2 linked regions of the Danio rerio genome follow. The protein of the gene in region 1 purifies or fractionates together with the protein of each later gene. This does not show direct contact. Links are inferred from orthologs where the notes say so. Each region holds a gene or a part of one and is shown in the gene's direction. Other genes may lie near its edges.

Region 1 (3,759 bases):
AACGAAAAAGCAAAGGCAAAAGCAAGAAAAAAGAGAATCTTTGAACAGAATGTGAATTGAAGGTGCTGCTTTCGGAGGTAGACCGGAGGAAAACTGTGTTATTTGCAAGTTTGTCCTCCGGAATTAACAACAAAAGAAAAAATAGAGTGGGGAGAGTTTAGCTGATGCGGTTAACACAGTTGGATCTGAACAACGCACTGTGGAGTTAAAAGAGAAATAGTGTGATTTATAGGTGTAAAATGTTGTAATACCCTTAATAGTCTCAGTGGCACAGATCGTAAAACGCAAGGTAGCATGTTTTGACACGTTCGAGCATGAACTCGGTTCGAATCCAGCGTCTGATGAACTCATTCTTCTTTTTTTTCCAGCATATCAGATTTTGCCTACTATTTATCACGAGAAAGACAAGTAGGAATCATTAATAAGTATGTGCATCATATTTTATTTGCACATTTATTGAATGGAAATGTTTCTGATTCATGCGTGCAAATTCATCTTCAGTTGGTGCCTTTATAGCAATGTGCGTGAAGTAGATCGCCCCCACTACAATGGGAAAACAGGCGACCGCTGCAAATTGCTCTTTAATGTTTGGCTGGTCAACTGTATGTTATGGAAATCTTATATACCTGCTAGATGAACCCGTCTCCTACAGCTGCCATTGCAAGGCTCAAAGACACTTTGTAGAGTGCAATTTAACACAACTGTCGAGTCGCCAATGGAAATAAAACAGACACGCACAAAAAATGTGCGTACGCCAGCCATAAAGCTGGCGTGGAGCCGCGCACATTCCCACGTTCAGTTCATCGTTAGTAAATCCAAACGTGAGCGATTCTGAGCGTGAAACCTGGCGTATGCAAAGTTTTTGTGCATACGCAGCGTTGATACATGAGGCCCCAGGACTGTATATTTCCCTCCCCTCAAAAACAGTTAAGTTTGGTATCTTTGAAAACAAAGAATTTTCATTTTGCTGTCATTGTTCTATTATGCTTGGGAAAAATCTTTATTCACAAATGCAGATGGTTCAAATCTACTCCTTTAATCAGTGAATGAGGTAAAACTTTTGTGCGAATCTGTAAAATTGTTGAATGATAAAAAAGCCCATAACCTCATCTATTTTTGGGATTTTTATAAGCTAATTTAATTTTCTAAGCTCCTTTATTATTTTATTGCAATTCATTTAACAAAAACTGGTCGTTTTATTCTTTCGATGTATATTGTGTTTGCCTATTTTATTACTCAACCTTGAGATGACAGTATGGAATATTGTAAATATGTTCCATTTTATTTGTATGTTCAGCTTGAAACAATAAAAAAAGTTTTTGCCAGTTTGTTTTTTTAGCAGAAAACATGCGCATAAATTGTAACATCATTTTTGTACAGTAGGCGGCAATGCCGAGCAACACCACGAAACAATAACAAGCAGAAGAATTACCGGATATCCGGGAGTGTTGCATTGTGGGGTTCGTTTCGTTGATCGCTAACCGAGCGGGTGAAGTAATGAATTAATAGATTCGGGTGCTTAAAACATTCCTCCCCGTGCTTTAGTCTAATAAGCGCGGGATCTGTTCAGTTACCCAGGCGGCTCGAGAATGAATGTTTGGAGTTGAATCATGATTATAAACGTGCACAGCAAAAGCAGCAGCACTGATGTGTGGATGTGGAGAGTCAGCGTAAACTGATCAAACCGAAAGGTACCGACTCTCATCCTCCTCCCTTCCTTGTGCCAAACACTCACAGTCTTTCCGACGTCTTCGGATTTTCAAATGTGTTCACGTGTGTGTATTCCCAGCCTTTCGTGATCTGCTCCGAGAAAACCGACCGCACCATCTGAGTCTCCACACAAAGCCGCCGCTGCTGTCGGTGTTTTATCATCAACAAAGCCGTTGAGCCTCCTCTCCTGGTTTGACTCCTTCAAACACAGAAGCGTCTCGGCTGCTCATCCCTCATGGCATCTTCTTCGGGGAACGACGATGATCTGACCATCCCGAGGGCGGCGATCAATAAAATGATCAAAGAAACGCTTCCCAATGTGCGGGTAGCGAACGATGCCAGAGAGCTGGTGGTAAACTGCTGCACAGAGTTCATTCACCTCGTCTCATCAGAGGCCAACGAGATCTGCAATAAATCAGAAAAGAAAACTATATCCCCGGAACATGTTATAAACGGTCAGTATGTCACTTCTGTTCAATGCTGTGAGATTCCAACAACAAATTGTTCGTTTCTGCACTTAATTCATTCAAAGCTTTTGTAATAAGGCGAATCGTTTATTCAGAGTTATAGTAACGTTACTTGTAGAGGTAAAGTTAGTTTTATATTCGCACATTCGTTCATTTAGCAGTCCCTATATTGTTTACCATCCTGCCTTGAATATTCAATCGGAATTAGCATGGAAATATGACTTCTAAACAACATTTACACTATCTGTGTGAACAGTGTTGTACTTTAATAGTCATTTGCTGCTAATATGATTTCCCTATTTAGAATTAGCAAAGAATACTTTTCTGAAATGTTATTATTAAGGAGAATGTCTAAATATATCCAAATATAAAACCAACTTTACCTCTATATACTACTTTTGATTCTGATTGTCTGATGAACATTCTAAGGTGTGCAATTATTTTCAGTTTTCAATTATTTAAACGGCTAAAGCAGTTCCAGACAGCATTATAGTTCAATATCATTATGCTGAATGGTTTCACAAGCTGCAAGTGTCACAAATCAAATAATGAGTTGGTATGCACAAGACTTTAGTAGTTTAACACACAAGAGCTGTTTAATGGAAAAAACCTCTCAAATGTCTTAAATTACGTCTTTCAGTCTGGAAACCATAGTACAAGTGGAATAATTTACTCTGGTTTATTCATTAAATTAGAAAATAATGCACATCTGCTTTGCATTGTGGCCGCATCACCACCTTGGTTGTGCATTATTTTTGAATAATTAAATACGCATGGGCTGGTGTAAGATTCTGACTATATGATAACCTTTGATAAAAATTGCACGGTTTCATGGTATTGTGATTACTGCTCTAAAATAATATATTCTTTTTAAATGTCGGGGTAAAACAAAACAAAAAAATCCCTTTTGAACACAATATATTTTATGTTATGAAACATTTAAAATATTCTGGAACAGTAAACTTCAGACTAAATAATTCAAATGAATCATTGACTTCTGCTGTCTTCACTTATTTCAAAAACACATTTTTTTTTTACAGTTAAAAACAGCATCTTTGGATATCTTTTATGCTGGACAAACTGTTGTCCAAAAAAAAGCAAGAAAAATGTAAATAAACAATCTTACACATCACCTTAGCAACAGTATTGCAAAAAAATTTGATGGTTTTAAAACCTTGACTTTTTCATACCGCGGTATACCTTGAAAATGGTTATCATTCTATGCCTAAATTCAATGGTCTATTGTAAATTATTCCTTGTTCAATTGGTCTGCAAGTGGTCTTGAGACGCTTGAAAATAAATGATGCGGTGGTTTATGTAGGACTGGGCAGTATGGCCATGTTAATATGCTAAAATTGTTTACATCAGAGTCAGTATCAATAATTATCAAAATAAAATGTCTATTTCTTTAGTTAAAGTGCAGATTATAGCCTCTGGGAGAAAGTTCCAAAAACCAGAATAGTAAATTGTAAAACTAAATTTTATTGTCAAAGATGACAAACATCCAACCTAATGAGCAAGACCCTTTAGCATGTGAACATACAAACAAACTCGAGCAGCTGTTTGTGCTAATGGATAAACA
Region 2 (3,659 bases), on another chromosome or scaffold:
AAAGTCACTTTATTCATCTTTTTTCCCCATTCTGATGCTCAGTTTGAACGGCAGTAGATCAAATCGTCTTGACCATGTCTACATGCCTAAATGCACTGAGTTGCTGCCATGTGATTGGCTGATTAGAAATTTGCGTTAACGAGCAGTTAGACAGGTGTACCTAATAAAGTGGCCGTTGAGTGTATATTAATGTAATTTTACATTCCGTATATGTTCTGTGTATATTATTACAACTGTATATATTCGGTTTGCAACTGTTTGTCCAGCTTATTTGTTTAAACTGTTACAGCTGCTAAGGAAATGCATCCTGCAGATGGGAAGGCCAGTGGTGGAGGCTCTGGAAAGCCCGCCTTTTGAAAAACCAAGCATCGAGCAGGTAACTTCTCAACTGTAAATAGCAAGAATATTTTTTCATCATTACGAATGAATCATTGTCTTAATCTTTACATTTAATAAGCTGCATGTGTTTGGTGACATACTTAACTAACAAGTCAACCTCTTCATCATGATCATGTGCGAACATCAGTGATATTGGTGTCAGGAATGAGCATTTATGATATAACTTTTTATAACTTTTCTTCTAAAACAGACTTTGGTGAAAACCACAAGCTCCAGCTTTCTTGCTTAATTTGTAGGCATTGTACTATAATTCTGATGTACAAATATGCTAAACACCCAAAGACACATTCCTAAAATCCTTGCTGTTGGAGACACATTTATGTTTTTTTCCTGTGTTGTTTTTGTTGTAGGGTGTGAACAACTTTGTGCAGTACAAGTTTAGCCACCTTCCGTCTAAGGAAAGACAAACCATTGTGGAGCTCGCAAAGATGTTCCTCAACCAGATCAACTACTGGCAGCTAGAAACGCCCTCACAAAAAAGACAAAGAGCACCAGATGATGATGTAGCTGGTTATAAAGTCAATTACACCAGGTGATTGCTAGTTTTTTTTACTTTACACTAAGGATTAGTTCACCCAAATATGAAAATTCAGTTATTAAGGGCTCATAATCATGTCATTCCAATCCCCTGAGACTTTTATGCAACATTTAGAACACAAATTAGGATATTTTAGATGAAATTTGAGAGCTCTCTCATCCTCCCTTAGCCATGTTTCCATCTAAAGATGGAAATTAAATTTATGTGCAAAACTGGAATATTGCATAAAAGTTTTGTGAATGAAGCAGCATTTAAACCCAAAGAGTCAAAGAGAACAAAATCGTTAACTGGTGCCGAATATCAAAAATAAAAACAGAATTTGCTGTGGTAGGATGAGCTGCATTAATCTTATTCATTTAATAAATTATTTGAAGACAATGCCGACATGCAATAAGCGCGTGGTGGCGTTTGAAGATGTGAGATGCGGAGCACAGTCACTTTTGACAGTTCTGGACGTAATAAATAATATATTACCACTAATACTGAAATAGTTACAGCATTTTAGAATGACCAAAACAACATTTCAGATATTTTACAATGTGGTCAGCCTGCTGGTTTGTCCATTCACTTACATGTTATTATAATCACACGCTCTCCTCTAAAAAAAATCACATGACTTTTTAATGCGCATCCTGAAATTAGTTTGGTAAAAGTGTTTCTATCGTAGTTTATAGCAGTTGTTTCTTATTGAATAAAAAGTTAATATTCAAAGTTTATGTGCATCTTGGCATTTCTATCAACCATTTTTTATGCGCACATCTAAAATGCACATAATAATATTAGGTGGATGAAAAACATAGCTATTGACAGCACTGCACTAAAAAGTCCAAAAAAGGATCTAAATCATTCCATGTGACTTCAGTAGTTCAACTTTAATCTACAAGGCTCCAACATCGCTTTTGTGTATGAAACCACATTCACTTTTGGCAGTATGTAGACATGGGGCAGAATAAGTTTCTGACGGTGTCAACCTTGGATAAAAATATCACAGTGTTGTGATTACTGCTGTAAAATAAGTTATTTTTAAATGTCTTGGTAAAAAAAAAAAAAAAAATTCCCCCCTAATGAACACAATATATTTTATTTTAGGAAACATTTAAAATTTTTTGGAACAGTAAACATCTCAGACTAAAGAATAATAAAAAAAGGCATTTGCTATCTTCATTAGTTTCAAAACCAGGTTTCTTTACAAACCTTAAAAAACTCTTAAACATACATTTGAAGTGGTTAAACAGAAAGATTTTGCGGGTTTTAAAACTTTGAATTTTTCAAATCGCGGTAAACCTTGAAACCGGTTTTCGTCCCATGACTGACAGTGTGACATATTGCCAATAGAGTCAGCAGTGAAACTTCCTTGCATTGTATTGCCCATATGAAAGAGATAATTCATCCAAAAATGCGTATTTAGTCACTATTTACTCAATGGGTTCCAATACTTTATGAGATTATTTATTCTCTTGAACACAAAAGAAGATACTTTGATCAAAGCTTAAAACCTGTAATCATTGACTTCCATACTAGGAAAAACAAATACTATGGAAGCCAATGATTACATTTCCAACATAGATCTTCTTTTGTGTTCAACAGAAGAAAGAAGCTCAAACAGGTTTGAAACAAGTAAAGTGTGAATAAATATTGACAGAATTTTTTTTTTTATGTGTCAACTATCACTTTAAATTAGTACCCTTATTTGGGTAATTTTTATTGTATTATTTTCGATACAAAAATATTCTTATAGCTTTTGTATGATTTCAGTTGAATCCCTAAAGTCACATGAAATGTTTTGACAATGCCTTGGGTCCTTTTTAGAACATTTCAGCATTGTTGTTTTCTGTAGATGAAGAAGCTCTTGGATATTATCTAAAATAATCTTCGTTTGTGTTTCGAGGATGAATGCAGGTTCATAAAAAAAGTTTTTCTTACTTAGAATTTTTTACTTGTTTCAAGTCCAAATATTTAAAAAATTGTGAATAAAAAAATTCTAATTTATTTTTTTTAACTTAGTTTTACTTTTAAACAAGCTAAATTATCCAACAAACAAAATAATCTTCAGTTTATTTTTAATTAAATTATATATCTTTTTAAAGTGATCCGCTTATAACGTTATAAAGATTTTGACCAACAATTATCACAATTTAGAAGTATTGGTCTATTTTCTACAACACACAAACAACATTTCTAGTAAGTGTTTTGTGTTGGAGAGATTTACTCCCTTTGGCTTTAACAAAATCATCTTTAATAAATCATCTTTTCGAAAGGTATCCAATTGTTCAACAGATGGTGCACTAACGAAACTGTTTAAATCAAACTCAGCCATACTAATATTATGCTCTAAAACTCCACTCAATCACTAATCTTCATTCACTCAAAACTCAAAATTGATCCGCTGTCAAACACACATCGTCTCACTTCATCCCATAAAGAGATAAATTTAAATAATCTCACCGCTGCCACCAATTAAATGTTACGTGTTTTATGATGTTAAAGTGGGATGCTGTAATATTTAAGTGACACAGGTGTAATGTGTGCGACAGATCAAGAATGAGGCAAGGTTCAGTTACTCTTATTTAAGCTTTTTACTTAATAATTGAAACATGTAACAATAATAAATGGGGAAAAAAAACATTTATAATTATTATCTTTAAACAAAAACAATGAGTGTAAGCCAAATCAAAGAAATTAACAAAACAAAGCAATCCTTAAATCTAAAATCTAAACTAGG

The links. Proteins that work in one complex are often made in the same cells at the same time.
Region 2: the proteins of dr1 (region 1) and kat2b purify together in Homo sapiens (affinity purification with mass spectrometry; 3 studies listed by BioGRID and IntAct, with this or other methods). This does not show direct contact. The link is inferred for Danio rerio from reciprocal best matches to the Homo sapiens genes DR1 and KAT2B.

The regions. Positions count from the first base shown.
Region 1 is NC_133181.1:26,454,897-26,458,655, reverse strand, and holds the start of dr1 (protein Dr1), read left to right. Parts: upstream 1-1,440; 5' UTR 1,441-1,945; coding exon 1,946-2,165; intron 2,166-3,759. UniProt on the Homo sapiens protein: The association of the DR1/DRAP1 heterodimer with TBP results in a functional repression of both activated and basal transcription of class II genes.
Region 2 is NC_133194.1:23,130,955-23,134,613, forward strand, and holds part of kat2b (histone acetyltransferase KAT2B), read left to right. Parts: intron 1-289; coding exon 290-376; intron 377-749; coding exon 750-931; intron 932-3,659. UniProt on the Homo sapiens protein: Functions as a histone acetyltransferase (HAT) to promote transcriptional activation. Has significant histone acetyltransferase activity with core histones (H3 and H4), and also with nucleosome core particles.